Macaca mulatta: one gene and its partners. The protein of the gene in region 2 interacts with the protein of the main gene of each other region in a pairwise test. Links are inferred from orthologs where the notes say so. Each region holds a gene or a part of one and is shown on either strand. Other genes may lie near its edges.

Region 1 (7,823 bases), on a different chromosome or scaffold from region 2:
AATTGCTTGAACCAGGGAGATGGTTGCGGTGAGCTGAGATCATGCCACTGCACTCCAGCTTTGGCGGCTGAGTGAGACTCCGTCTCAAAATAAACCCAACCTTATAGAAAATAATCGTTTTCTTCCAGACAGTATGCCTTAACTGTCATTTGCTGAAAGTAATCTTTGGAAACATTCTCAGATTGCCATTATCTCATTATCCTCCTGAAACCATCCTGACTAATGTTTGCCGTTTTATGTTAGAGACGCTGGCTAAGTGCTCCTTCCATGATGCTGGTCTTCCACTGAGCAGGAGACTCCTGGTCCCCAAATACCTTGCCTCCAGAAGCACAGAGGGATCCGTCTGGAGAGACAGTCACCGTGTTCAGATAGCCCGTGTGGCCAATGTGGTTGGTCTTCAGCTTGCAGTTAGCCAGGTTCCATACCTGCATAGATGTGAAGTTGACAGGTGAATATCCTGGCTCTGGATCAACCAGGGTCAGGTCCAACAAAAAAGGGCTTGGCATTCCTGGCTACAGTAGCCATTTATCATTCAGTAACATGTCCTGGCCACTTAACCTTAGATTGTAACACACATCCAATGCAGTGTGCTCACTTACAAGGGACATCAATTAGCTACTTCAAACCATGTGACAAGAGAAAGAGTCAACTGAGAGAATCTGTAAAGCTTTCCACAGGAGTTGGAGCGTATGACCACCTGGGAGCACAGCACACCCTGACTGGTAAAGCCCCTGCCTTGGCTTGAAGCTCACCTTGACCAGCTTGTCCCAGCCGCAGGAGACGATGATAGGGTTGCTGCTGTTAGGCGAGAAGCGGACACAAGACACCCACTCTGAGTGGCTCTCATCCTACAGAGGATGAAAAGGAAATAAGGGGAAACAGTCCTATCCCATGAAATGCTAGACCCCCCCCCAGCCAGATGATGGCTGGCAGCACCTTTCAAAAACCCAGAACCCAAACCTTTAAGGTCAACAGAATCCCTTTAGATTCCAGATAAGAATTTCTTTTTAAATTTAGAGACGGGGGTTGGACGCAGTGGATCACGCCTGTAATCCCAGCACTTGGGGAGGGCGAGGTGAGTGGATCACCTGAGGTCAGGAGTTTGACATCAGCTTGGCCAACATGGTGAAACCGTCTCTACCAAAAACACAAAAATTCACCGGGTGTGGTGGTGGGTGCCTGTAATCCCAGCTACATGGAAGGCTCAGGCAGGAGCATTGCTTAAACGCAGGAAGCGAAGTTTACAGTGAGCCACGATTGTGCCATTGCACTCCAGCCAGCGCAATGAACGAGTGAAACTTCATCTCAAAAAAGGGCCAGGTGCGGTGGCTCACGCCTGTAACCCCAGCACTTTAGGAGGCCAAGGTGGGCGGATCACGAGGTGAGGAGATCAAGACCACCTGGCTAACACGGTGAATCCTCGTCTCCACTAAAAATACAAAAAAATTAGCTGGGCATGCTGTAGTCCCAGCTACTCGAGAAGCTGAGGCAAGAGAATGGCATGAACCTGGGAGGCGGAGGTTGCAGTGGGCCAAGATCGCACACTGCACTCCAGCCTGGGCAACAGGGTGAGACTCCATCTCAAAATAAATAAAAATTTTTATGGATGGGGTCTCACTGTGTTGGCCAGGCTGCTCTCCTGTCCTCAAGCAATCCTCCCACCTTGGCCTACCAGAGCATGAGCCCAGCCAAGACTTTAAAAAGGCAGAGAGCCGGGCACGGTGGCTCACGCCCGTAATCCCAGCACTTTGGGAGGCTGAGGCGGGCAGATCACCTGACGTTGGGAGTTCAAGACCAGCCTGACCAACATGGAGAAACCCCATCTCTACTAAAAATACAAAACCAGGCGTGGTGGCACATGCCTGTAATCCCAGCTACTTGGGAAGCTGAGGTAGAATTGCTTGAACTCGGGAGGCGGAGGTTGTGGTCAGCTGCGGTCACGCCATTGCACCCCAGCCTGGGCAATGAGCAAAACTGTCTTTAAAAAAAAAAAAAAAAAAAGGGTAAAGATATGCAGGCCATGGTGGCTCACGCCTGTAATCCCAGCACTTTGGGAGGCTGAGGCGGGCAGACTGCCTAAGCTCAGTTCGAGACCACCCTGGTGGTGCGCACCTGTAGCACCAGCTACTGTGGAGACTGAGGCACCAGAATCACCTGAGCCTGGGAGGCAGAGGTTGCAGTAAGCTGACACAGCGCCACTGCACTTCAGCCTGGGCGACAGAGTGAGACTGTCTCAAAATAAAAAAAAAAAAAAAAAGTAAAGGTTAAGAGAGTGGGAGAGATCCTTGGAGATGTGCTCTCTGACCATGGCCTCACTTTACCTGGACAGTGTATTTGCACACACCCAGGGTATTCCATAGCTTGATGGTTTTATCTCGAGATCCAGAGACAATCTGCCGGTTGTCAGAGGAGAAGGCCACACTCAGCACATCCTTGGTATGGCCCACAAATCGCCTCGTGGTGGTGCCCCTAAGAGGGAGGACTTTGTCATTCTCAGACTTAACAAACATTCTCATTCAAGGGTCAGACTGATTCCTGGGCCTTGTCTCTGTCTCATTGCATTACTCACACATATATGACAAAGAATCCCTTCAGAATTGCAGGACATGTCCTCACTCCCACATGGGGATTGGCTGACAATGTCATCTGTCATCACCAGGACCCTCTAATTCCACCTGCCAATCACCTCAGCTTTCAAGGTAAAACATGTTCAAACTGCTGCCTACTCAAAACTGTCGCACCTGGTAGATATGTTCAACCACACTCCTCAGCAATCCTGAGTAACTAATTCAAAGCGAGGGAGGCCAAACATCTTCTGTAGGTGCAGTCTGCTTTCCAGTTCCCAAATGGACTGGATCTCCCCTGGGAAACCAGCCAATTGCATCCACCACATTTCTGCCCAGATTTTTTCCCAAGGCCCCAGAGCTAAGTGAGCAGCTACTTGCGTTGTGAGATCCCAGAGGCGCAGGGTTCCATCCCAGGAGCCTGAGAGGGCAAACTGGCCATCTGAGGAGATAACCACATCACTAACAAAGTGGGAGTGACCCCGCAGAGCACGCTGTGGAATTCCATAGTTGGTCTCATCCCTGGTCAGTTTCCACATGATGATGGTCTTATCTAAAAGCGGCCAAACAGAAGAAAAACCAGTGAGGAACCCGCAGCCAGTTTGTTAACACACTGGATAATTCACTAAGTGTCAAGGTCATGAGTGGGTTAACAACTAAGGATGCTTAAGGAGGGATGGAACAACAGACTACAAGAGCAGTTACAGGCCAGGACTGAGTGGCTCTATTCCAGACTAAAAACGCACGCAGAGCTAAACTGTACCGTGATAACTCTTTTTTTTTTTTTTTTTTGAGATGGAGTCTCACTCTGTCACCCAGGCTGGAGTGCAATGGCATGATCTCGGCTCACTGCAACCTCCACCTCCCGTGTTCAAGCAATTCTCCTGCCTCAGCCTCCCTAGTAGCTGGAATTACAGGCCACCCCCAGCACGCCTGGCTTTTTTTTTTTTTTTAAACTAGAGATGGGGTTTCACCATTGGCCAGGCTAGTTTCGAACTCCTGACCTAAGGTGATCCGCCCGCCTCTGCCTCCCAAAGTGCTGGGATTATAGCCGTGAGCCACCGTGCCCGGTCTGTATCCTGAGAACTTAATTTAGGTGCCAGAAATTACAGACACCCTTTCCTGAAACTCAGACGAACTCAACAGCCACCACGTATCTTCTCTGCAACCGAATGCACAGCAGTTCGTGGCTGTAGAGTAGCTGGGGCCTCCCATGCCTCCCATGAGGGCCGACAGAAATGTTATAATGAATGCTGGAAAAGCCACTTTAGGCGCTACAGGATCGGATGCTTTTACTGAAACCTGTCCCACTCAACAATTTTACGATTAACAGCCAGACATGATTCAAGAGTCACACAATTCTTAACAGTGTAGGAGCAAAGGGGAAGCACAACAAGTGTCCAAACGCAGTCAGGCACACAGGGATAGGGACGGGGAGGGGAGACCCAGGGGCAGAAAAAGTAGGACGAGACTTGAGCCACGAGGTCCTCTGGAGTCCACCCGCCTCCCCACGAGCCTTGGGCCGGGCGGCAGCTCAGAAACAGCCTCTGGATTTCAGCACCGACACTCAGATGGCATGTTGGGGTCATCACCGCCCCGCCCGGCCCGTAGGCCCCCGACCACACTACGAAGGGGAAGGCAGAAGATGTTTTAAAAGTTTCCAACTCTCCAACCCTAACAGCCACGAGCCGCTCTACGTCTAGGTCCTCATCTGCAATGTGGTTCGCCCGGGCTGAGGCCTAGGCTCGCGTCCGCACGCCCCAAATCACAGTGAGGCAGAGAAGTTTGTCAGTCCCCGGCAGCGCGCGCGCCACCGGCCTGCCCGAACCACGCGGAATCCCCCAGCCCTGCAATCTCGGGTCCTGAAATCTACCTTAGTCCGTACCTCGAGAGGCGGACAGGATCATGTCCGGGAACTGCGGGGTAGTAGCGATCTGGGTTACCCAGCCGTTGTGGCCCTTGAGGGTGCCACGAAGGGTCATCTGCTCAGTCATGGCGGCGGCGAGCGCGTGTGTCGCTGCAGCGACGAGGATGGCACTGGATGGCTCAGAGAAACGAGCAACACAGCCGCTACCGCCGCCGCCTTGCAGTGAAAGAGAGAAGCCCTCTGCCGGAACCGGAAATACCCACTCGACCAAGTAAAATGGCGAGCCCCATGATACACTTCTGCTCAAGATGGCGGCGCCATGTAATGCAAAAGGCAAAGGGAAATTGCACGGCATCACAGTCCCCACTTCCGTACAACATAATCTGACAGCGCTTTATAAATACATTCTGAAACAAGCACATTCAAGTGTTTAAAAAGGCTTCTCAGGGATGATGTAGAGCGAGAAGCGAAAGAGGTGAAGTGTACGGCACATTCCCATGAGGACTCCCTGGCGGCTTCCCCGCCCCTATGTGGCGTAGCTCGAGCTCCGCCTGTTCCACTTGGTGCGGGGAGGGTTGACGGGGCAACCACAGGAGAGCTTAATTTTCAGTTCACTATCGTGGGTAACGATGGGCAATTTAAAAAAGTATGGCATTAAAATTTTAAAAATAAACTTTAAAACTGTGCTTCCGCGGGACCGTCCTCCCTCAAGAGGTTTTTGTTCTGATGCACACCAACTCCGGAAGGACTTAGTCCAGGCTGGACTAAGGCAGGAGAGGGTTACTCTGGATGTACTAAAAATTGGTCTCTTTTTGCCGGGCGCAGTGGCTCGTGCCTGTAATCATTCCACTTTGGGAGGCCGAGGGGGTGGATCACTTGAGGTCAGGAGTTCGAGACTAGCCTGGCCAACATGATGCAACCTCTTTCCAATAAATAAATAAATAAATAAATAAATAAGTAAAATTAGCCAGGTGTGGTGGCGGGTGCCTGTAATCCCAGCTACTCGGGAGGCTGAGGCAGGAGAATCCCTTGAACCTGGGAGGCAGAAGTTGCAGTGAATCGAGATCCCGCCACTGCACTCCAGCCTGGGCAGTAGAGCGAGACTCCGACTCAAATAAATACATACATACATACAATAAAATAATAAGGTGAAAATTGCCCTGTGTGTTGCTAGACTGCCAATCCATTCCTGCCTAGGTCAGAACACGGGAAGCTCTCGCAGAAACGGAAACGCCCAAAGGAGGACCTTAAAGTTCTGACTTCTGGGGACATCCACTGGAAAGCTCTCTCTGGGCCCAGTCACTGCACACAAAAGCCCAGGCGTCTGGGGGTCCAGTTGCACCCTGAAGGACGTGCCCAGACAGGGAAGCGGTGGAACACGGATACCTAGCTGTCCTTCTGCCTTCCACTCTACCTCAGGAATTTAAACAAGTAATGACTCTCATTCTCTCACATCTGACTATAAGAGTATTGGGCACCGTGTCTCTTCAAGTAGTTTTAAACAGGAGGACATATCAGGATGATAGCAGCCACCAACATCTATGCAAAATAAAGATGTCACATTTCTATTTGTGACATCTATCAACTTTTGTTTCTCATCTGTGAAATGAGATTGGAAATAACATTAGTATCTACATTACATGGTGTGGAAAGTAAAGAAGCAAATTAAGCGCCCTGAACAACGTCTGGCAGAGTAAATGTTGTGAAACTTAGTGAGCACCTCTTGGGTACCAAGCCTTATTTTAGGTTTTGGGGACAAAGCTGTGAACAAGACAGACGGGGGACTCTGGTTTATTTGCAGCTTACTTCCGGCGGTATGCGAAGAGGGGAGAACATTGGAGCAGATACACGGAGAGCGCACTGTGGGTATATGGGAGAATAATGTTCCGTGGAGGGACGTCGTGTAGGGGAAGAATGTTTCAATCGGAGGGAAGAGTTAGTGCCAACGTACTGAGCTGGAGTGTGGAGGGGCTGAGGACAGAGCAGTGAAATGGAGGGCGCAGTTAACCTACGGCCTTGAAGGCCTGGAGAAGAACCTTGGCAATGTCTGCTAGAAAGCCTGCGTAAAGGCAGAAGACAGGCGAGGAACGGTGGCAGAGCTGCCGCAGGCTGTACACGCCCAGGTGTGCAGAGGCCTGGATCCCTCCCTGAAACAGCTTGCTCAACTGGTCCATGGCAGATTCCCCTGCCTTCCGCCGCAGTCTCTGTCGGGCCCCGCGGAACGCTGTCCTGGCTGTGCTCCTCCGCAGCCTGTGGACCATCCTAAGGCTCCAGGTTTGTACATCACCTGCCTTCTTGGCACCCCCAGCTGACTGTTCTTTCGCTTTTCCAATACAAGACGCAATCCCGACCCAGGTGTTTTGTTTCTGTGGTGGTCGTGGAAGACCCCTGCCTTCACCCACCCGCTAACCAGCTTGCTGCCCCCGACTCGGGTCACGCCAGCGCCTCCCTGAGCCCTCGGGCGCAAATAGGTCAACGACCACACCCGCCTCCCGCTGTGGACTGAGTGAGATTCGCGGTGCGAGGGGTTCCCGGGTTGGGGCCCTAAAACGCCGAGGAGTAGCACTAGATTACACTGTCACATTCTTTTTTCCTTTCGAGAAACCTCATTCGGTTCTCTTTTTCTTGAACGTTCCACAGGGAGTCCAGGTTTAACACGAACCTCGCTGCAGGTCCCCGACCCACGCCCAAGGAAAAGACCTTCCCGCGCCGCGGGTCCCTCTCCCGGAAGCGGGCGGTTGCCACGCCCAACCCCACCCTGCCCCGCCCCCTTTCCCGCTCCGCCCCGGGGCTGCCCCCTTTCCCTGCCTCGCGAGACCTGGGCCGAGACCTCGGGAATGCTCCGGGCTCCTGCCGGCCTCTCCCGGCCGGGTTCTCTTGCACTAAAAATAGGCGACTGTGGCAGCGCCCCTCCTATGGGGCCTTGGGGGAAATTGGGGTTTTGTCTTAGAGCCCGTGTGGACCCCGATGGCGATGCCAGCCCGAGGAGAGGGAGGCGGCTTTCCGACGACCAGACCCTGCAGGATTCGGCCTTTCCCTTCGGAGTTTTCCTCCAACCCCCTCCGTCCCTCCCAGGGGATGCCCGCAGGCCACGGTGGTCACTGAAGTTCAGCCCTGAGCCGAAGGAGACGTGGCCTCGACCCTGGGGGCCCCTTCAGGTGTAGCTTGAGGGGGAACGGCCGCCTTTCCCGTTGGGCACCCAGCTGTGGCTGTGCCCGGTCCTCGCCCAGCTCCCGGCATAGGCATGCACTCTGGGCCGGGGCCGGGGCCGGGGCCCCCGTCTCTCCAGGAGGAATCGCTGGGTTGACTCTGGGTCAGCAAAGGGAGCCCGGCCCCTTCTAGCGGGGGGACGTCCTGCAGCCGCTGGAGGAGGCTGAGTCAGTCAAGCTCAT
Region 2 (7,844 bases):
AACTACTTATAGGTGCTTATCCCACCTTTCTGCTTCCTCCAAGTTACTTTTTAATTGTGTCAATTAAATTTGCAATTCATCAAACTTAAAATAGGACATTTACTGTACACCATATTAAAGCCTTTTCGAACAGTATAAACTGAAAACTGTTAAGTACAATGGGCTACTTATTAGAATAATTATCAATATCAAGCAAACATTTCATTTTCCCTCTCAAGCCCCCCAAAACAAAGATAATTAGAATAATTATCAGTTTTGGGCAAACATCTCCATTCTCCCTCCCAACCCTCCCAAAACAAAGATAATCAGCATCCAATTTTTTCCCCACAATTTAGTACTAAAAGATCAACACTGCCACGAATCGGGCTTTTCGGTGCTGGATCAGCAGCTCCAAGTGGAGAATGCAAGCACTGCATTTCACTAACCTCGCCAAGAAAAGGCTGGCACATGCATTCATCACCATCTAAACCAAGCCCAGGTAAAGAAACAGAATACAATAAAATTTACAGTAAGATTTCCCACAAAATAAAGTTGAGCTGTTTCAAAGCACATAATTCTGAAAGGCTAGAAAAACCAAAACTGAAACAGCCTCTCATGACTGAAACAGCCTCTCATGACTTTAAGAATGAACTTATTAGGCCAGGTGTGGTGGCTCACGCCTGTAATCCCAGCACTTTGGGAGGCCGAGACGGGCGGATCACGAGGTCAGGAGATCGAGACCATCCTGTCTAACATGGTGAAACCCCGTCTCTACTAAAAAATACAAAAAACTAGCCAGGCGAGGTGGCGGGTGTCTGTAATCCCAGCTACTCGGGAGGCTGAGGTAGGAGAATGGCATAAACCCGGGAGGCAGAGCTTGCAGTGAGCTGAGATCCGGCCACTGTACTCCAGCCTGGGCAACAGAGCCAGACTCCGTCTTAAAAAAAAAAAAAAAAAAAAAAAAAGAATGAACTTATTGAGCAAGGCTCACCCAAGGGTTTATATATATTGCTAGACAGATAGACATTAAAAAATCTACATTTTTGGTCGGGCATCGTGGCTCACACCTGCACGTTGGGAGGCTTAGACAGGCGGATCACCTGAAGTCAGGAGTTTAAGACCAGCCTGGACAACATGGTGAAACCCCATCTCTACTAAAAATACAAAAAATTAGGCCAGGCACGGTGGCTCACATCCCAGCACTTTGGGAGGCCAAGGCAGGCAGATCATGAGGTCAAGAGATCGAGACCATCCTGGCCAACATGGTGAACCCCTGCCTCTAGTAAAAAATATACAAAAATTAGCTGGGCATGGTGGCGCGCGCCTGCAGTCCCAGCTGCTCAGGAGGCTGAGGCAGGAGAATCGCTTGAACCCAAGAGGTGGTTGCAGTGAGTCAAGATCATGCCACTGCACTCCAGCCTGGGCGACAGAGCAAGACTCTGTCTCAAGAAAAAAAAACAAAACAAACAAAAAAACAACCCTTTTCCATAGGAAAAGCTTGTGACTTCCACATTCTTTCAGGATTAACATTTCTATGATATGTCAAACATGTTTTATTTTTGTCTATGCTAAGCATTCACTTACAACATTCTAACTAAATCAAAAATTTTGAATGTTAGAAAAGTACAGTGCTTCATATCAACTAGGGCTATAAAACCTTGAGAGAATAGCTCTTTGACACCCATTATAGATAAATTTAGTACAGTAACTACATAAATGGAAATTAATGAGCTGTTTGCTCCTGAAATAACACATACTTGAAAAAGAACTTGAATGATAAAATTTCCATTCTAACTACAAAATCAACTAAATACCTTTGATTTCAAAAGCCAGATCACTTAGACTGAACAACTGACAGAAAAAAAAGTTATAAGTGTACTACGTGACAACATTAAGTGCAGGAAACAGGTTGCAACCCAGTTTATATCACTTAAGTTTAGAAAGAAAAGAAATAGCTCTGTGCATTTATGTATATAAATGCAAAGTGTTAACAGTAGGAAAAATAAGAGGATTTTCACTTAACCTCATACATTTTGGAATTGCTTAAAATTTTTAATACAAAAATGCATGACAATTTTTAAAAGGCTAAAAATCAATGTATTAACAGCACTAACTCGTCTCACGTTTTTCTGAAGAACAGAATACGTATTTTCTTTTTTTTTTTTTTTTTTTTTTTGAGACGGAGTCTCGCTCTATCGCCAGGCTGGAGTGCAGAGGTGCGATTTCGACTCACTGCAAGCTCTGCCTCCCGGGTTCATGCCATTCTCCTGCCTTAGCCTCCCGAGTAGCTGGTACTACAGGTGCCTGCCACCGCGCCCGGCTAACTTTTTGTATTTTTAGTAGAGACGGGGTTTCACCGTGTTAGCCAGGATAGTCTCGATCTCCTGACCTCGCGGTCCGCCCATCTTGGCCTCCCAAAGTGCTGGGATTACAGGCGTGAGCCACCGCGCCCAGCATTTTCATTTGTGAAAAAATAAAGGGTGAAGAAAAGCTTAGCCTTCCTCAATTCTTTTATTATATTCATGTAAATAAATTTAAGAGAAAAACATAAAAAACAGGATATAAAATGCACAATGTATCTCCAGTCTGTTTAGATAATCTGCTCAGAAATTTACTGGCCTATCAAAGGCTCGTGAGATAGTCAATAACTTTTTTTTTTTTTTAAATCATTTTCAACATCTTTATTGTAGTGACTTGATTCTCACAAGTGATGACTCTGGATTTAACTTTTCACAAACAAAGGTAAACATTACCCAGCTGCGCATCAAAGCCCCAATACTGAAACCTGAGACGTTTCCTCAGGGCTGCGATGCACAATTTTTATCAAGCAAGGAACAAACCAGCAAGCCACGCTGCACACTCCGCCAAGCGTTGGCAGGAATGGTCAATCTACACATCTCACTCCTAACGCTCTGCAAACCTTGGGACCGCTGCCTCATTTCAAGAAAACAGAGGAAGCACAGGTGGAGCGTTGCTGGCTCCGCCACTGACGCAGTTCAGGTGAGAGCACGAACTCCCTCCCCGTCCGCAGGCAGCAGGACACCACGCTGCGCACTGGCTTTTCTTGCTAAACAGGGAGTGGGGAACTCCGGATATTCTGGCTGGAAAGGTTAAAAACGCTTTTCTTAAAGCAGCCTGGAGCTATTTATAAGTTGCACATCCCATCAGCACCACAAGAAGTACTGAAATACGATGCCCGCTGCCTGCTGGAAGCTACCGGACGGGGAAGGGGCGAAGGCGCCAGGCCGGACAGCGCCGAGGACCCGCGCCCGGGCCCCGACGTCACAGGCCGCCCCGCGGTCGCCCAGGCCGCCCGCATCACAGAGGCCTCCGGGACCGGGACCGGGCGCCCTCCTCCTCCCCACCGCGCTCTCGGGTGGCTCCGACCTCACTCCCGCAGAGGCGGGGCTGGAGGCTGGAGAAGGTCCCCGCCAGGTCTGGATGCGGGAGTCCCGGAGTAGCGACCTCAGCGTTCGCCCCCACACGCCACCCCGGCAACCTCCCTCAACTTCGTCCAACTTGCCGTAGCGGCTCCGAGCCAGGGTTCGGGGGCCCCCAAGCCAGCGTTTCCCCCGGGGCCCCGCACGCGGCCGGCGAGGGTTGGAAGGGGTGTGACCCCCGCCCCGCTCCTCCTACCTTCGGCGGCCACCGGGACCCTCAACTCTCCCGGCTCCTCCCGGGTCCCCCCTCCTGGAGCCGGCCCCCGGGACCCCAGTCTCTCCGCAGGGCGAGCCGTGGCCCGCTACCCCCGCCGTCCCCGCGTACCCGGCGCCTGCAGGCCGCCCCCGGGGCTGTCGGGCCGCTGAGCGACGGGCGCCGGGAGGCTCTTGCGCTCCTTCTGCGACTCCCTCCGGCCGCCCGCGCCGGCTCTGGGGCCCGAGGCCCCGGCCGGGCTCCTGCCGCCGCGGGGACCGGCCCGGGCCGCCGCCGCCGCCGCCTCGTCGCGCCTCTTGCGCTGCAGCTGCTGCTGGCGCCGGCGCTCGGCCTCGCGCAGGATGTCGAACGGGTCCGACTCGTCGTCCAGCAGCTGATGGAAGCGGTTGGCCACCACGCAGCCGAAACTCTCCTGCATCGCGGCGCCGGCGGCGGCCACGGGGCTCCCCAGGGCGCCCTTCATGCCGCCGCGACCACTGCGGGCCCGGGAGGGCAGCCCACGCGAGCGCGTCTCAGCGAAGCCGGCGGCGAGGACCCATGCCGCCCGCTCCGCCGCCGCCGCCGCCCTCCGGGCCCTACCCGGTCCGGCCCCTCCCGCCGCCCGCCCCCGCGGCGCCGCCGCCGCCGTCCGCCCCACCGCGCCAGGCAGCCAATCAGCGCGCGCGGGCACGCCCCCTTCCCGAGACGGCGCGCCTGGAGACCCAATCACCGACCGGCTGCTGTCACGTCACGCGACCTCTGAGCCCCGCCCCCTCCGCTCAGCAGGGAGGGGCGGGGCCCAGGGGCGGAGCTACTGGCTGGTCCAGGCGGCGCGGAGTGGCGGTGGTGTCTCGGCGGTGTGTGCCTTCTCCCGTGACTGCGTCTGTATTTGCTCTCGGCCACTCTGCTTTGAAGCTTATGTATACATTTAGCCGTGCAACAGCTGCATATTGCGCACTTACCGTGTGCCAGGCGTGATGTTGTAGGAAATACTAGCTCCGTGTTGTCACAGATCTGAGTCTGTGGATGGAGAAAAAGTGCCCTGAAGGACAGGCGCAGAGCTCTCCACGGGCTGCAGCAAAGGGACCTGACCTAATTGGGAAGTGACAGTTAAGCCGAGGGAGGGGGGTGACAAGGGGTCGGAGGAGGAACAGCAAGTGCAGCAGTCTTGAGGTGGGATGTGCACAGTCTGTTCAAGCTCAAAGTGGTCTCTAAGAGCCGTGGGAAGCAAGTTTTGAGCATGAGCGGATTTGGGTTTGAAAAGGCCACCCTACCTGCACTGTGAACTAATAGTTTGGAGGGAAATACAAATGCATGCTGGGAAGCCAAACGTGACTGTTGCGAAGCTCGAGGGAAGAGCTGATAATGACTGGGATTAGGATGGTGGCGGTGGCGGTGAAGAGAGTAGATGGGTTCAAAGACTTGGTGATGTGCTAGATGTGGTGATGAAGAAGAAGATATGGTGACTCTTATTTTCCTGGCTCCAGCATCTGAATGGTAGTATTAGTCACCACTGGAAGACACTACTTTAACGAGAATCATGAATTCAGTTTTGGACACGTTGAGGTTTGGATATTTGTTTTCTTTTGAGATGTTCAGTTGAGGCCTGGAGCTTAGAGAACGCTGGACTGGACTTCCTCCAGGAAATCTTGCATAGGCACCAGTGGAGCTACGCTTGGCTGCCTATCCTACAGCCATTCTTTCCCTCTTACATTTTTCCAGAGCCTGTATTATGTTCCGGCATCATATTCCCCAGGGGAAGCAGGCCCCTTCCAGCCTCCAACTTGATTATAATTCACTGCACCTGATTCCAATTCCTTGCCAATAATTGGCTTAGGAATAGGCTGTGGGGCAAATCAGCCAGAACAGATCTGAGGAGAAGTATTCTGGGGAAGTTTTTCTTGCACCTAAGAAGGGATTGAGAAGGGATCTGCCCCACTTCCGTTCCCTGGTCCTTGTTCCATAAGAAGATATGATGCCTGAGGTTGGCTGTTCCTTAGTGTGGCCATGAGGATGGCAGAGCAGGATGGAGAAAGCCTAGATCCTTGATGATGTTAAGCTGCCAACTGGACCCACTTGGGAACCTCCCCGCTTGAGGCTTATGATGTAAGATAACAGATTGATTGCGCTTAGTTGTGTTTGTTTCATCTGAAAGCATCCAGTTAGAGCATCTTGCCAGGTGCTCTGTGACCAGCTTTTACTTTCCTTTAATAGCAAATAGAAAAGGAATTCCTAATCCTAAACGCGGCAAAGTCTGTGTTTTACTCACTTACTGAATTCTGTGTTATTCCCAAGGAGGACAGGGATGATGCCTGTCTTATTCATTGCAGTATGTATTATTCCCAGTGCTTGGAGTTCTAGACGGCTATAGAGTAGGTTTTCAGTAAATATTTGTTGAATGATTGAAGAATTTAAGATATTTGGTCACCTCCTTTTGAGTGAGCAAAGATTAATGCCTATACTTTCTACCCAAAAGAATTAAAAGCAAGTGTTCAAACTAAAACTTGTATATACATATTCACAGCAGCACTACTCACAATAGCCAAAAGGCAGAAACAACTAAAATATATGTCACCCGATGAATGGATAAATAAAATGTGGTACAAAAAAGTATTATTTGGTCATAAAAAGGTATTGATACTTGTTACAACATGGATGAACCTTGAAAACGTAGTGCTAAGTGAAAGACGGACAATAAGGGCCACACGTTGTATGATTCCATTTATGTGAAATGTCCAGAATCTATAGAGACAGAAAGCAGATTGGTGGTTGCCAGGCGTGGGGGTCGGGAGTGTTGGAAAGTAACTGCTTAATGGGCCTGGGAGTTTCCTGTGGGGCGATGAAGTGTTCTGGGACAAGATAGTGGAGGTGGTTGCACAAAATTGTAAATTTAGTAAATGTCACTGAGTTATACACTTTAAAATTGTAAAAATAGTACATTTCGTGTAAAATTTAGTAAAAATAGTAAATTTTTTTTGTAAAAATAGTAAATTTATCTCAATGAACCAGAATCACTCCACGCACCAGAGACCACACTTTGAGAAGCCCTGCTTCAAGCTAAAGTTATCTTTGGTATCTTTAAACTGCTCACCAAACCACAAAACCAAGGAATCATGGCCATGTGAGAGAAGGGCCTGTCGTCTTCCCACTGGGCATCTGGAGTTAGCCTGCTCCCCCGTTTTCTTCTTATCTTCCTTCCAGCATAACCAGCCACTGTAAGTTCTTAAAGCATGCCCTGTGAGCACTGCCGCCTCATTTCCAAGTCACAAATGCCCCAAACAGTTGTAAGACAGCCAACTCATGTTGCTTCAGGATTCAGAACATCTTCAGAACCACTGAAATAAAGATGAGTAATCTCTACCTGGTATTAGCTGGCCATAAGTTTCTTTCTTTTGCGTGTGTGTGTGTGTGTGTGTGTGTTTAGTAGAGACAGGGTTTCACCATGTTGGTCAGGCTGGTCTCAAACTCACGTGATCCATCCACCTTGGCCTCCCAGAGTGCTGGGATTACAGGTGTGAGCCACCGTGCCCCGGCCATGGCCATGAGTTTCTTATGGGGCTATTGACTACTGCACAATTTACTGAGAGTAACATTAAGCAGCCTCATATTTTTTACTGACCATTATTTTCTTCTGGGAGATTGCATCCTTAAATGCATTCCTAAAATACAACTCTACCACATTAGCATAAGTTGTTCACACATTGTGTTTAATGTGGTCAGTCTAATAGACTGATCTTTCTCATAATCTGATATACGAAAACAGCCTTTAGTAATCATAATACCAAACAAAAACACACATCCGTATAGCATAGAAAAACAAAGCACATCAAAAAAGCAGTGAAGTGTGGATGCTGAATAATACTACCAGCCCTTCATGGTTATTATATATATTCCAGTGGTTATTTATTACCACCAATGGAAATGCAGTGACACTTAACTGTATACAAGATGTAAATTACCTTGAATTACTTAATAGAGGAGTCCCATTAGGAATAATAAAATACACTAACATCTTCCAGATTGACTTGGAATTCACAGAACAATTAATTGAGAGTTTAGACACATGTAGCTTCATTACTTTCAATTACATGCAGGGAGCAACACCTGGGTGAGAGCCAAGGCGGAGAGGCCAGGTCAGGCTGGCGAGGATGTGAGTTCTTGTTAATTACCAAAGCACTGCATTCCATCTGCTCTGTTTTGCCACTGGATTCCTGCTGTCTCTCTCTCTCCTT
Region 3 (7,720 bases), on a different chromosome or scaffold from region 2:
AAATGCACACACAGAGGCCAGGCGTGAAGCGAAGTCAGCAACCTAAGACAACTAAGCATGACAGACTGTTGTAAAAAAAAAAAAAAAAAAAGTATACTCCCCCCAAACGTGGTGACAATATGGCAGGTGGTTTTTACTATGTGGAAATACAGCCCCCAAAGCTAGCTAAAGTTCAGATCTTAACAATATAATAATCTGGATTACTTGGTGTCATCTCCTGAATTATAAATGTTAGTAATTAATCCCAATTCCTTTAAAAAATACTGTGCTGTCTAATCAAAGCATCTGGGAGTAGTCTTAGAAAGGTCACAAATTTGTGACCTTTGCTCCAAATTCTTTCTTCACCTCAAAACATAAAGAATTATTAATTTAGACATTCTAAGTACTCTGGAAACAGAAAAATATTCCTATTCTGGTCACCATAAACTGTTGCCAATTCATGGTAATCTTTGGTGAATATGGATCAATTCTCAACCACTAATAACATTCAACAGTAATATAGGAGGAGCATAATAAACCCCTCTAAGTCACATTCTCCAATTATGTTTTGTAGACAGAGTTCACAAAAGAATAACTCAATGAATTTCTTAGAATATCTAGATTACACAGTCTAACAAAATAAAGCCAAAACTTCTACTATTCTTAAAAGCTCTATTCTCATGTTACTTAGCACCTTCTTCACAATATAACCAATCAGGGAGAAGCCCTTTAATGAATTAATTCTAACAAGGTTGTAACAATTCATCAGGTGGTAATTCAGGCTGGAATAAACACATTTACAATGAAATTGCGTCTTTAAAGGCAGAAAATTTACATACAATGTTGTAATTATAAAAATACCGTACAATCCTGGAATATATAATCCAGCGTATCCAAAAACAGCAATTAAAAGTCGTCATAATAGTCATCCCAAACACTGCACTCTCTCCTTTATACAGAAAACAGCACGTTATGTGTCAGTCAGTCTGCCTCCCTCATAAGAGCCAGGTGCCTCCAGCCAAGTCCATTCGTTCTACTACAGGAACTACATATAGAACCAACTGCTAGCTTCCAAACTGATTTAACACATACATTTTCCTTAATTAAAGCAAATCTTCCCTGTATTTAATTGGAGTCAGAGTTTACAGCATCTTATTAAAAAATCCCAGAATAATTAAAACAACCAGTTCAGAAGCATAAAGAATATTTTAACCAGTTAATCTGACAAAATAATCGAGGTTAGGATAGTCCAAAGGACCATCAAAAGCCAATTCATAACTTGCCCTGGAGGATGACCAACTGAGTTGATTCCAATTCAGAACAGAGATATTCAATGAATAGTATCTCATGGACTAAATACTTATAAAGTGTAAAGATAATACTCTTATTTTGGACAAAACTATTGATTTCAAAAAATGTCATAACCTATGCCCACTTTAAAAAAAAATGCAGCGAAACAAGGCACATGCTAAAACTTCTTAAACACATACAAAAACTGCGATCTATCTGCTGAAAAGGATGCATATTTGCACACCAGAGTTACCATTACATTGGGTCAAGGGTTAAAAGCAGTGATTTTGAAGGTATGGCCCGAAGACCATTATCATTCCTGTTAAAAATGTACCCAGACCTAATGAATCCAAAGCTCAGAAGAAATACACCACTTAAATCACACCCTTCCAAGGTAAGCACACTTAAATTTGAAAACCACTGGTTTAAGAGTTAGACTAGTAAGGACAGTCAGTAAGACACAAATACAAACTAAAACACTAACAAATTCAGACAGATCAGTTAAAAAGCTATCAGTTTACCAATCATATATAAGCATTCCCTTTCTTCTTTGCTAGTAAGCTTTTATCAAAAAATTAATGAAAACCGTAGTTTCAGCCAGCCAGGAAGGCAAACAGTATAGAACAAGTTGGAAAATCCTAAGATTCTGGAAGAAACAAAATGTTTTCCCACAATTGCAAAAGTAGAGAATAGATCATCAAATGCTTATCTCTTACTTTAAGTATTTCCACAATACTCTATGATTGATTAATGAACAGTTTTTCATCAGGCCATGAATCTGTCCTTAAGCTTGATTTTGCCCATTTGTTGTCCATTCCACGTTGTTCTTTTAATCATCTGCTTAGGTCTTCTACAGTAAGTAAGCAAGAGAATGCTGAGATGGCACTTAAGTACCATACCTGTGAGGCCAAGATTGCTACTGGCATACCCAGTGCTCTACACCCATGTAACTGCACTACTAGCCTTGGCAGCCATCTTGAAAATGATGCCCGGCTCACAAGGAAGCCCATGGAATACTGTGCGTCTACTGCACGTTACCACCACCACTGCCACAAACAACCCGAAGGGTAAGTCCTAAAGACGTATCTGCAGCTTTACCTTCAAACAGGAAGAACAATGTCAAGTTACTAGTGACTATGGCCACTCTAATAAGCTACAGCCAGGGATCTAGCGGAAATTGACTTCATCAGCATGATTTTAGGACAAGGAAGAATGAAATAAGAACTGAAGGAAAAAAACCATTTTCTTGCAGATATATTATTTATGAACAAATAAAAACAGTTCTCTCTGGTCAAAGCTGTGCTAATACAGAATTTATCTCAGGTATTAAAATGAAACGTGAAACAAAGGCAATACAACCTCTCGGTAAAGATGACAAAACCTCATATACTTGACACGTCAAATCCTCTTACCCCCAAAATGTTAACAAGGCGTAAATATCCGATGTCAGTGGATCACATTCTCAAATACCGAGTTCAATAAAGTAGAAAAGGATGACAAGAATAAAAATCTACTGGACCGTACTTTCCCGTTTACCCTGTTAAGGAATGGCTCATTCACTCCGCTTGCCTTTTAAATTGCTTTGTGCTGTGACGAAGCCCTTGAAGTTAGCTTCAAATTAATATTTAGCTGCAAAACAAAGGCATTCTCTAAACCCAAATCCCTCCAGTCGTCAAGGAAAACAAACAGACAAAAAATCACATTAATACACCAGAGGTAGTAAACGCCTTTCAGAAGAGGACTGTGGATTGGCACAGCAAGAAGCAAGCAAGAAGGTAGGATGGAGGCTTCAGAGCCCAGCAGCTCACCTGTTGATGAAACCATATCCGTTCCTTACATTGAACCATTTTACTGTTCCCAAAACCTTCGTTGCTGGAAAAGAAAACAAAGCAAAACAAGCCACGATTACCAGCTATCCTTTTCCAAACCCGTCTCGCTTCGGCATCCGGTCCCTCGCACGCTGCCCGCCGCGGCCACCTGACAGCCCTTTCTCTCCACCGCCTGGGTGCGGGTCCGCGCCGGGGCCACGCCGCCGCCGCCGCACACGTGGGTGAGTCTGAAGCGCGGGGCGCTCCCGGGCAGGCCCGGGGCGCGGGCCCAGGATGGGTGTGTTCGCAGGCCGCGGACGGAGAGCACGTGAGGGAAGGGGAAGCCGCTCCGGACTGCGTAGGCGGTGCGCCGCGCTCTCCGAGCACACGCGGAAGGGAGCTGGGTGGGGGAGACGCGAACAACGGCGTGCGGGCCCGAGCGCACGAGGCCAGTCGGCGGGGAGGGGACCCCGTCGCACACGCGGTCGGCGGCGCGCGGCCGCAGGAGGAGGGGCGCGCGGCCGCGCGGGGTCCACAGGGGGCGCGGGAGGCAGTGTGCGCGCGCCTGCCGGGCGGGCCCCCGCAAGAGCGAGTGGGGGGGCGGGGGGAGGGGCGGCCGCGCGCCGCGGAGTCGGTCCCCACCGGCCGCGCGCCCGCCGGCTCGCCCAGCCCCGGCTAACGGTTCCGCTGCCAGGCTGCCCGAGGGCCCCACCCCCGTCCCTGTCCGGTCCTCACCGATGACCTTCTTGTCCCCGCCGGCAGGCGCCGCCGATGTGAGGCCGCCCGGGCCACCGCTCCCTGCGCCGCTGCCCGTAGTGCCGGGCTTGGTGTCGGCGGCGCTGAGGGCGGGGGCGGCGGGGGGGGCGGCGGGCGGCTGCTGGGTCTCGGCCTCGCTGCTCATGGTTGCGGTGATGGTGACTGGGGCCGGCTGCGGCAGCTGCGGCTCCTCCCGGGGTGTGATGGTAACTAGGCCGGCGGCGGCGGTGGGGCTGCTCAGGGCTCTCTGGGGTCCGCTCTCCGCTCCCGCTACCGATCGAACTAGCGAGAATGGCGGGACAGGCGGGATAAGCCCTACGATCGACCCGCCCTAGGCGTTGTTCACTGGCCGGTGGTACTGTCAATCTGCCCACCTGACCTCAGTCCCTGGCTTCTATTGACTAACATTTTATCAGTCCTCCACTCTCATTGGCTGTCTGGCGGCTAATTCAGCCGACCTACAACCGTTCCTGCCTCCGCCGGCCGCCATAGAGACCGGAACTAGAATTAGAGTAGTCGGCCACGAAAACCATAGAGTACCTGAGAGGACGGGCAGAGGGAACGTGACTTCCACGAGGCAGTCGACGGGCTGGCGGGCCCGACGTTCAGGGTTGTGTCTCGGCTGAAAAAAAGGCACGCCCGAACGCTGGGCAGGGATTACCCGGCCGGACCCGGGATTGGAAGGGGGCTCGACGACGCCTTAGCTCCCCGTGAAGAAAAGGCTTCCCTCCCTCCCTGCACCAAATACGGTCCCTGTGATCTGAGAACATTACGGCGGGCATAGAGTCGTCTTTTCTTTAATGGCCGTGTACTCGCGGCACAGCCGAGGGTTTCTGGAATTGCCTTAAACGTATGCGTTTGAAGAGCGTACGCTTTTGTCGGAGCAGTCACCTTGGAGGGACCACGCAGGCTCTGGCAGCCCGGGCTCAGCATGTTTAGGGCGAGGGTGTGCTCCATGGGGACCTGCCTTCTGATCCGTTTTACCAGGCATATATTTTTAAAAATGTGTCTTCCTTTTCAAGTGTTAACGTGTTTTTCTACTGGCCACAAATCAGATTTAATTCAACTCACATTTATTGAACAAGCTAGCGTCCTATGTTTTTTTTCATTTAATTCGTACAACAGCCATGTGATAGAGGAATTACTATCCACGTTTCACAAACGATAAAATTGAGGCTGCCACCTGATGTTACTGAAGTCCTCCACCCACCTTCTTTCGTTCTTTTTTAAGCGTCTACTATCGGCTGGGGATGGAATAGTTCGCGAGTCAGTTTCTGCCTTCTGATGGAGGCAGAAATTTAAACAGCCAACACGGTAAATACTCCAGAGCTGCAGAAGCACGAAGTATTTTGGGAGTAGAAGCAGGGAGAAGGTGGAGGGCTGACTTTCTGCGCACAGGGTACAGGCGAGAAGAGGTGGGATCTCGGGAAATGCAGTCAAGTAGTTCAGTAAGACTCGAATGTGACATTGGGTTGCAGAGGTGGGCAGAGTCACTTAGGTGTATTGAATTGGAAATATATCCTGAGGGGAAGAGTGAGAAGAGCAATTTTAGAGTCGTAAGTAGGGAGGGGCATCTTTTTAAAAATGGCTGCGGAGTGGAGAATGGGTTGCAGAGGGGCAAGGAATGGAAGTAGAGAAAGCAGTTAGGAGGCTAGTGCAGTATCCCTTACCCCTACCAATGCCGTCTAGGCCTGTCAGTTCCACCTCCTAAAGGCCTTCTTGAGTCAGTCCTAAACTCTCTAAATGTCAATTCAGAGTCTTCATTCCTACTGCCACTACTGTAGGCCATCATCGCCAATTGCTTAGAGCAAGGGGTAGGAACTTTTTCTGTGAGAACCAAATAATAATACAAGCTTGGCCGACAATATGGTTCTGACTTACTACTCAGGTTTGGAGCTTGAAAACAGCCCTAATTTTTACATGACACGAATCTTTACATATTTTCAACTATTTAAACATTTTAAAAACGATTCGTATTCTTAGCTCATGAGCCACAGAAAAACGGAGTGTAGTTGGCTGATCCCTAGTATAGAGCAGTGCTGTTGGCTACTAACCACACCTCTCTACCTCTGTCTTACTCTAATATTCCTCACCACAACAGCCAGAAAGTTCTTTTGAGAACATCTGTCTGATCATGACACTGTCTTACTTAAAATCTTCCAGTGACTACCATTACCCTTAGGGTAGTCCAGATTCCTTAATGTGGTTTACTGGACTCTATGATTTCTAAGAAGTCTTAGAGTCTTCTCTTGTATTCCCTGTCCAACCTTCCAGGTGCTTGTAACTACTGGCTGCAGGATACTGCAGGAGCAGAGGTAGCAAACAGCTGAATTCTGTGACAATAGAACTTGGTTAAAAGTGTTGCTTCAGTGTATCAGATGACAAGGGAGATGGTGAAATATTACAAGGCCCTACAGAATAGACACTTGCAACTCTCTAGCCAAGTAAACACGCTTCAGAGGGCACTGTAGAGAAAGGACTCATCTAGTAGAGTCCTTTAGCCACTGTTTCCTTTGGAGTATCACATAAAATTCTGCATATAACACCCTTCCTTTCCTCCTTCCTCTTTGCCTGCTTAATTCATCCTCTAGGTCTTCGCTCAGATGCTCCTAGGTTAAGAATCTCTCCCATCCTAACATACTGTATTGCTCTAATTAAATGTTCCCCACCAGACTGTGACTTCCTTGGGCATCTTAGTTCCTGACACATAATACCTTAAAATATTTGTTAAATGAGCGACATGGTGTAGAAAATGAATTGAAAAAGGTACTGGCAACAGAAAGGTAATCTGCGCAGCTGTGCCAGTAATCCAGGTGAAAGAGACTTTCAGCAGCAATGTGTACGGAGAGTGGGTGGATTCCACAGCCTCTGTTCATGTGTTCCAGCTCCAGATGACTTTTGAATGTTAAAATATTGCCTCAAAAGGCAGTTTTGCCAACACTGAGGACATTTAAAAGCATGCCCTATAGGCTTGAGAGCTTTTCTCCAGTTACAAAGACACTTAGAAAATATTGCAGCAGCACCTCTACGAATAAATGAACAATCTCACTATGGAACTGCTTTGAAGGGATGGCTTCTCAGGCAAAAATACAAATTGTGTAACATCTGTCTTTTCAATGTTACTTTAAAAAGTATCATTACTTACTCATCCAGTTACTTCATTCAGCTCTCTTCGGGCTCAGTGAGCCTGAGGATGAGCTGTTTCAGAAAGTAGTTTGCAGCCAGGCATGGTGGCTCATGCCTCAGCACTTTGGGAGGCTGAGGCAGGTGGATCACTTGAAGTCAGGAGTTTGAGACCAGCCCGGCCAACATGGCAAAACTCCATCTCTGCTAAAAATGCAAAAATGATCTGGGCATGGTGGCATGTGCCTGTAATCCCAGCTACTCAGGAGTTTGAGGAGGGAGAATCGCTTGAACCCGGGAGGTAGAGGTTGCAGTGAGCTGGGATTGTGCCACTGCACTCCAGCCTGGGTGACGGAGTGAAACTATGTCTCAAAAAATAATTTTCTTGTAGCCACCTCTCTACAAGCATCAACAATTCATGACAAATTTCATTTCCTGTTCCAAAGTAGGAGAGCGCCACTCCAGAGCTTTGCTGGTCTCCCTGCTATCCTGGGAGCTCACACCACCCAGGTATCCGTGGTGACCACGGTACAGACAACTCCAGGGCCTGCCTTTAAGTGATGTGATGGGCAAGGGATTCATCCCAAGAATCTCTGCAAAATAACTTTTACCTTGTCCCCCATCTCTAACAGACTGTGGCCTAAGAACACAGTTCCCTCTTCCTAGAAAGCACCTGCCACCTTGTTGATCTGGCAAATTAAAGCCTGTCACTACTTACCTCAAACGTCACTTCTTCCAAGAAGCCTTTTTCCCCCTTTTTTCCC
Region 4 (7,867 bases), on a different chromosome or scaffold from region 2:
CAGGGAGGTCTGCTACAGTTACAAAGGTGTACTGAAACAATGTCTCTATCCTAGCTGGCTGAATTATATGCAGAACTTCAAACAAGGCTGGTACCTACATCCAGTCCTGAGTGATTCAGCAGGTCTCAAGTGTGCCTACCATGTACCAGCTGCTGGAAGCCAAAGCTGGCCTCAGCTTATCTCAGCCAAACAAGTCATGCATGGGTTACTCCCAACAGGGCCAGTACCCCAGGGCTCACTGCCATGTGTTGACTGGGCATCTCATGGCCACAGCCAGCTGACACTGCCCACCCTGGTCTTTCCAAGGAACCCTTGGTGAAAGTAAGGACCTGGGAGGCTGGTGAGATGGAACAGAAGCCCCTTTAAGAGCCTTTCCCCATAAGAAAATTTGCCCTGCAAGGAAAGGAAGAAGGAGCAATGGAGGGTTGCATCTGTTAAACACGGAGAGCAGCCCTGGCCTCGGGAAGGGGATGCCTCACAAAGAAAAAAACGGCTGTAGTAGACAGTCATCCTTCAGAGTACTTGTGGGAAGTTTTATCATCACAAAGCAGGCCAGAGACACCAACTAGCGACAATTTTAAGGTGCAAGAATCCACACCTGACAAATCATGTCCCAAAGTTTGAGTCAAAATTCCTGGGAGATAAAGTTTAGAACCAGAACTGCTGGACTATGCAACTCTGGCAGGCACCGTTCCATACAAGTTCCATGAAGTACCGCCCCCTCGACTTGTGCTAACTAGCTGCTTTGCCAGGAAGTCACCTTTCCATAGTAACAGAGGCAGTCTGAGGTTGACACAATCTGTCTGATTCCAACTGTGCTGACCAAGCTGAGCTCCTGGGCACAGAAATGGAATGATGTTCGTCAGAGCATTATTTTTAATGGCCCCCAAATAGCTATGAAAACCTTGTGCAAATGGTTTTTAGGTGAGATTACAGAAGACACAATTGACCTGTGTAGGGAAAAACCACACTACACAATAGCCAAGAGAATTGGTACCCTACTTCACATCATACTCAAAATGAATCACAGACCTCAACTAAGAGCTAAAACTAGAAAACTCTGAAAAAATTAAGGCATAAATCTTCACAACCTTGGGCGAGGCAGTGGTTTCTTAGATGTGACACTAAAAAAAGCACAAGCAACCAAAAAAATAGGTAAACTGAACTTCCTCAAAATCAGAAACTTTTGTGTCAGAGGGCATTACAAAGAAAGTGAAAAGAAAACCCACAAGATGGGGAACAATACTTGCAAATCATTAATTTGGTAAGATCACTATACCCAGAAAAACTAAAGAATTCTTTTTTTTTTGAGACAGAGTCTCACTCTGTCGCCCAGGCTGGAGTGCAGTGACGTGATCTCGGCTCACTGCAACCTCTGCCTCTGGGCTTCATGCCATTCTCCTGCCTCAGCCTCCTGAGTAGCTGGGACTACAGGCGCCCGCCACTACACCTGGCTAATTTTTTGTACTTTTAGTAGAGACAGGGTTTCACTGCATTACCCAGGATGGTCTTGATCTCCTGACCTTGTGATCCACCTGCCTCGGCCTCCCAAAGTGCTGGGATTAAAGGTGTGAGCCACCGTGCCCGGTCAAAACTAAAGAACTCTTACAACCCAACAATTAAAAATGTAAACAGGCTGGGCAGGGTGGCTCACACCTGTAATCACAGCACTCTGGGAGACCGAGGAGGGCGGATCACGAGGTCAGGAGTTTGAGACCAGCCTGGCCAACATGGCGAAACCCCATCTCTACTAAAAATACAAAAATTAACTGGACGCATGCCTGTAATCTCAGCTACTCAGGAGGCTGAAGCAGGAGAATTGTCCGAATCCGGGAGGCAGAGGCTGCAGTGAGCCAAGATCGTGCCACTGCACTCCATCCTGGGTAATAGCAAGACTCCGTGGGGTGGGGAGGAAGCTACAAATTGTATGATTCCATTTATATGAAATGTCCAAAAGAGGCAATCCATAAAGTAGCTTAGTGATTACCTGGGGTGGCTAGAGGGAGGAATAATGAGTGACTGCTAATAGGTATTGTTTGGGGATTGACAACAATGTTCTAGAATTAGGTAGTGGTAACCGATGCATAATTCTGTGAGGACTAAGAACCACTTAATTTAATAAACTTCAATAAATGGGTAAATTTTATGCCATATAAATTAAATCACATTAAAGCTGTGATTTTAAAAAAGAATTATATATACATCATAAGGTCAATTATAAAGAAAATTCAATTTATTTATTTATTTATTATTTTTTTGAGATGGAGTCTTGCTCTGTCCCTCAGGCTGGAGTACAGTGGCGCCATCTCGGCTCACTGAAACCCGGGGGTTCAAGCGATTCTCCTGCCTCAGCCTCCTGAGTAGCTGGGACTACAGGTGCTTGCCACCACACCCTGTTAAAATTTTTAGTAGAGACAGGGTTTCAGTGTTAGCCAGGATGTTCTCGATCTCCTGACCTCATGATCTGCCGTCTCTGCCTCCCAAAGTGCTGGGATTATAGGCGTGAGCCACTGCACCCAGCCTCAATTTAAAAATCTGGAAGATGACAAATGTTTATCTGTGTAATGAGATTATGGATGACTATAAAGCAGAAAAGTGTAAACACTAACAGTTTAGGAGAAGGTGGGGCACCTGACTTAGGTCACAAACTCCCCGCCTCTGATGGCAGCCCTTATCTACAGTGGAACCCCATCCTGTTACATATAAGTTACATGCCTTGCATTTTCACCCAAGCTAAACATTACAGAGAGCAGGGTGCTACTGTATCAGGGCTGTAAATCAGAGATCAAACAGATTCTGTCAGTACTTTTTTGCGCTACATTTTTGTCTCCTTAGTAACCAGCCCACAGCAAATTTGTGTTCAGTGAATGGACTGCCTGGACCTTATGAAGCTGTCCAATTGAATCCTTCACTCTCTTGAAAACCATTTATCCACACCTGAACTCAAGGCTCTTCTAGGGATGACTCAGGACGGGTCTTGCAAGGTTAAGGGAGTCGGTGCCCTGGGATCCCCAGACCAGTACTTACTTTTCCCCGGCAACTTTCCGCACTAATTTCGCTTCTGTCCCATTCAGTTCCAGCTCCCAACCTCCAGACATCTTAGGGAGGGTTTTATGCTTCTGGATTTTTCTTTCCTCCTCAATTTCATCCTTCAGGAAATCAACAAAAGCTTTGTCTCCTAGAAAAGAAATCCATATACATAAAAAGGAAAGCCAGTTAGTCTAAAACATAAAACTATTACCCTGGTTATCGCAGCCAGAAACCTGGACTATTTCTAATCTCTCTGCTATTACAGTTACTCTAGAAGCCTCAGTTTCCTTATCTGTAAAAATACCATAATATTAGTGGGAAGCTGAGCCTGATGCTGGAAAAGTGATTTCCAACAATGAACGCATTACCACTTTCCGCTATAAAGCAGAAGAATTTCCGATCATCCTCTTCCACTTGCCAAACGATAGTTGTATCGTATGCTATTTTCAAACACGACCTTGGGCTTTCCCAAAAGTCCACTTTCGAGAGAATAAGACTAAGGATGAAGGTACCCTCTAGTATTTAATTTTATTCACCCCCCTACCAACAGAAAATGAAACTGGTGGATAGGGGAGGTGGGGGGAATATGATCACACGTGGGTTTAACCCGCTGGTTGCCAATCAATGGAAAAATGTCCCAGACCTCGGAGGTCGGTTGCAGGCCCCACTCCTGGTCTTTTCCCCTCCGTGAACCGCAAACCACACCCCTGGCCCGCGTGCGCGAACCTCACCTTCAGTGTGCAGCAAGCCGCAGCCACAGCCACAGGCGCAGGGTCCTCGAGGCCGCAGGAGGCCCGGCCGCCGCTCGGAACCTGTGCGCACGCTGAGCAGCCCGAAGGGCCGGGCGCACAGCCGGGGCGCCGGCTGCAGGAGCTGCCGGAAAGGCGAGGCGGGCGCGGCAGCGCGGAGGCTGGGGACGGCGGAGCCCAGCACACGAGGCACGCAGCGCAGCAGAGGTAGCATCGCGCAATCCACTGCGAACACGTGCAGATGCAAAGGACAACCCAGGCCCAAGTACCCCGCGACCTAAAGCGCCGCCGGAAGCCCCGCCCTTGCCCGGAAGCGCTTCCCGCGCCGGCGCACTGAGGACCTAAGGCCCCAGGCGGAATCGCGCCTTCTGCTGGAGGCCTCCTGTGCAGCCCGGGAAGCCTCGAATCCGGTTTCCGGAGCCTTCTTGCTGCGCTGGCCTGAGTCCTCTGTCCGAAGCTGTTTAATTATTTCTAGTGGCCGCTTCCACCTACTGTTTTCAAGGCACGCCAGGCTTTTGGGCTGTGTGGAATGCACTCTTGTCTTCCCCCAGCTCTCACCAGCCCCTTACACGGTCACTTTCCTCTAGGAGGCTGTGGTGTTATATTATGTATTTATTGGTTTTCATCCCCAGTTCCTGGGTCGTAACTCCCATAGCCCTCGTTACAGTGTTCTGTGATAATGTTGGGTGTGTTAGGCCTCAGGAAACAGACTCTCACTCTCCCCTTCTCCCGCCCTCCTTTCACCCGCCCCAATGCAGGACTCTAATCTCCCACATTTCTGATTATGGGTCTTAAGTCCCTTCCCAGAGAAGGTCCCACCCTCTACCCTGGGGGAAGGGATGCTGATGTCCAGAAGCTTCCATAAAAACCCATGAGGACAGGGTTTGCAGAACCTCTGATAGCTGAATACGTGGAGGTTCCTGGAGGGTGGTGGCCCAGGGACGGCGAGGAAGCTCGGAGCTTCTTCCCCACTGCCCACCCTGCTCATCTCATCTGTATCCTTGGTAATATCCTTTATATGAAACCGGTAAAAGTGTTTCCCTGAGTTCTGTGAGCTGCTCCAGTGAGTTAATACAACCCAAAGAGGGGGGTCGTGGGAACCCCCACTTGAAGCGGGCTGGTCGGAAGTTTCAGAGGCCCAGACTTGCCATTGCTGTCTGAAGGTCGGGGCGGTCTTGGGGACTGAGCCCTCAACCTATGGGATCTGACACTGTCTCATGGGATCTGACACTGTCTCCAGGTAGATAATGTTGGGATTGAATTGGAGGACACCCCGCTCGTGTCTGCTGCTTAGTGTGGAGGGAAAAAACCCAAACCTTTGGTCACAGAACTCTTCTGTGCTGATTGTTGTAAGAGCAAAGGAAGAAGTCAGGGTTTTCCTGAAAGAGGCCTTCCTAGAACCTCCTTTTTTCCATCGGCTTAGAACTCATGCTTGTGCGCACCCAGCCCTTAGGCTTCATTCTCTTTTCAACAGAAACCTCCTGGCATTGCTGGTTTTAACCGGGTTAAACCCAACCAGACTGTGACATCCTGAAGGGCAGGATCCATGAGTAATTTCTGTGACCTTCCCTCTCTGCACCTCCGACCCTGCATCCAAGTTCTAATGGAACATCATTTTTCTGGGGACAAGAAGCCGGCTTGTATCATTTAGATAGGTCCAGAAGCTTCCATAAAAACCCAAGGACAGGGTTTGGAGAGCCTCTGATAGCTGAATACGCGGAGGTTCCTGGAGGGTGGTGGCCCAGGGAGGGCGTGGCAGCTCGGAGCTTCTTCCCTATTCCCCACCCTGCTCATCTCCATCTGTATCCTTGGTCATATCTTTTATACGAAACTGGTAAAAGTGTTTCCCTGAGTTCTGTGAGCTGCTCCACTAAATTCATAGAACCCAGAAATGGGGTTCAGATTTAGATTAAGAACCAACAATCCTACCTTCCCAGGATATACAAGCTACTAAGAAGGTGTGTCTTACTAACTCATGATAAGACTAACACTTAATATTTTCTAAATAATTTTCTATGAATAATGGAAAAGAGACCCAAGAAACAAGCCATACACATCATATACAAGATTCATTTTTAATGGATTTGATCGTCAAGTGCAAATTTGAGCATTATTTACAGGAGCTTTCTGTAGAGTTATTTCTGTTCAAATAAAACCAGACTCTCAAAATACAACATACGCCTGAACCTACTTGACTTTTTTTTCCCTCCCTCTAGTTACCAAGGAATATCGTATCTCAGATGCATGGCCTGCTATCACACTGGTCTTTAAAGAAAATAAAAAAATGCATGGCCATAGTTCCAGGCAGTTCCTGGTAGCTGGATTTAGTGGATTTATATGACAGTACAGTACTTCATCAGTTTTACCCACAGGGCAAAACTCGCCTCCATTCAGGCATCTCTTTACAACTGGCAGCAATGCAGCATTAAGGGTTTGTAGCAGGACCTGCTGTTTGCAGTCCTGCCCCTTGTCGTGTTACTCTGGGTGTTGCATACTCCATGATTACTAGAAGACAGACACCTGAGGCATGCGATCTGCTTGGAGTGCATCTATTTACATGAAGCTGCTCACGGGAGCTGGTGACTCTTCCAGATACGGGTTTCGTAGGTTGGCAAAGAGGTATCATACCATCAGATTTTACCAATTGAAGAAGAGTAGCTGAAGGTTATATTGCAATGTTATTGTGAAACATTTAACTTTCTTAAGCGTAAAGTGTACTATCCCTTGCAGCTCAATAGAAACAACGATGTATTTCCTTGTAGTAATATGTGGAGTCAGAATGGGTTGTCCAATCTGGTTTAATCCCTGAGCAGCTATGTTAAAAGTTAACTTTTTTAAAAAGCCCAATAAAAAACTAAATACTGTATTAAAACTCTACCACAATGTTACAGTGATAAACATATTTCTGTACAGAAACATTAAAGCTACTTAGAAGCTGTTTACATCCTTTGCCTCTCAGAAAAAAAAAATACATTTCTGGAAACTGTTCAGGTACTTACGCTGGACATAAATTACCCCGAGGTTTTTCTTTTTTTTCTGAGACAGTCTCGCACTGTCAGCCAGGCTGGAATGCAGTGGCGCAATCTTGGCTCACTGCAAACCCTGCCTTCCAACTTCAAGCAATTCTTGTGCCTCAGCCTCCTGGGTAGCTGGGATTACAGGCGTGTGCCACCACACCCAGCTAAGTTTTGTATTTTTCGTAGAGACGGGGTTTTGCCATGTTGGCCAGGCTGGTCTTGAATTTCTCAAGCAATCCACCCACCTTGGCCTCCCATCCAAATGCTGGGATTACAGGCATGAGGTGATCTGCCTGCCTCAGCCTCCCAAAGTGCTGGGATTACAGGTGTGAGCCACCGCGCCCAGCCACCCCACAATTTTCTTTTTTCTTTTTCTTTTTTTTTTTTTTACCAGCACTGTGAATGATTTATTAAAAACACAATACTTTTTCTTACCAAGTAGGACGAAACATCCTAATCCCCTACTGCAAAACAAAAAAAACAAAAAAAAAAACTGTGGGAAACTTTTCAGAAAGTCAGCCATGGTAACAAGTCAGTAAGTGGAAGAACTAGTTCAAAGTTCAAGAATTCAGTAAGATAAGGCCGGGCACGGTGGCTCACGCCTGTAATCCCAGCACTTTGGAAGGCCGAGGCGGGCGGATCACAAGGTCAGGAGATCGAGACCATGGTGAAACCCCATCTCTACTAAAAATAGAAAAAATTAGCCGGGCGCAGTGGCGGGCGCCTGTAGTCCCAGCTACTCGGGAGGCTGAGGCCCGAGAATGGCGTGAACCCGGGAGGCGGAGCTTGCAGTGAGCCGAGATTGCGCCACTGCACTCCAGCCTGGGCGACAGAGCGAGACTCCGTCTCAAAAAAAAAAAAAAAAAAAAAAGAATTCAGTAAGATAAGGTATCTAGGAGCTGTCAGATCTTATTTCGCCCACATATAACCATTTCTGACAGAGCCCTAAACACTGAGAGCTTGACTGCGCAGGACCGTGGCTAGCGTTGGAAATAAAGACTCAGCTGGACTTGACATCCCCAACTCCGGACAGATGGGACCCTGGGATGGGGCTGTTCCCTCAGGCCACAG

What was found.
Region 1: the proteins of HABP4 (region 2) and RACK1 interact in a two-hybrid assay, tested with the Homo sapiens proteins (2 studies listed by BioGRID). The link is inferred for Macaca mulatta from reciprocal best matches to the Homo sapiens genes HABP4 and RACK1.
Region 3: the proteins of HABP4 (region 2) and YBX1 interact in a two-hybrid assay, tested with the Homo sapiens proteins (2 studies listed by BioGRID and IntAct). The link is inferred for Macaca mulatta from reciprocal best matches to the Homo sapiens genes HABP4 and YBX1.
Region 4: the proteins of HABP4 (region 2) and C1QBP interact in a two-hybrid assay, tested with the Homo sapiens proteins (2 studies listed by BioGRID and IntAct). The link is inferred for Macaca mulatta from reciprocal best matches to the Homo sapiens genes HABP4 and C1QBP.

What each region holds. Positions count from the first base shown.
Region 1 is NC_133411.1:190,282,966-190,290,788, forward strand, and holds the start of RACK1 (small ribosomal subunit protein RACK1), read right to left. Parts: upstream 4,663-7,823; 5' UTR 4,559-4,662; coding exon 4,450-4,558; intron 4,163-4,449; exon of another isoform or gene 4,095-4,162; intron 3,118-4,094; coding exon 2,946-3,117; intron 2,664-2,945; exon of another isoform or gene 2,585-2,663; intron 2,470-2,584; coding exon 2,322-2,469; intron 849-2,321; coding exon 753-848; intron 426-752; coding exon 315-425; intron 1-314. UniProt on the Homo sapiens protein: Scaffolding protein involved in the recruitment, assembly and/or regulation of a variety of signaling molecules. Interacts with a wide variety of proteins and plays a role in many cellular processes.
Region 2 is NC_133420.1:127,028,329-127,036,172, forward strand, and holds the start of HABP4 (intracellular hyaluronan-binding protein 4), read right to left. Parts: upstream 4,220-7,844; 5' UTR 4,097-4,219; coding exon 3,745-4,096; intron 1-3,744. UniProt on the Homo sapiens protein: Ribosome-binding protein that promotes ribosome hibernation, a process during which ribosomes are stabilized in an inactive state and preserved from proteasomal degradation.
Region 3 is NC_133406.1:198,074,762-198,082,481, forward strand, and holds the start of YBX1 (Y-box-binding protein 1), read right to left. Parts: upstream 4,118-7,720; 5' UTR 3,979-4,117; coding exon 3,813-3,978; intron 3,678-3,812; exon of another isoform or gene 3,179-3,677; intron 3,142-3,178; coding exon 3,078-3,141; intron 1-3,077. UniProt on the Homo sapiens protein: DNA- and RNA-binding protein involved in various processes, such as translational repression, RNA stabilization, mRNA splicing, DNA repair and transcription regulation.
Region 4 is NC_133421.1:6,938,374-6,946,240, forward strand, and holds the start of C1QBP (complement component 1 Q subcomponent-binding protein, mitochondrial), read right to left. Parts: upstream 4,047-7,867; 5' UTR 3,994-4,046; coding exon 3,762-3,993; intron 3,179-3,761; coding exon 3,028-3,178; intron 1-3,027.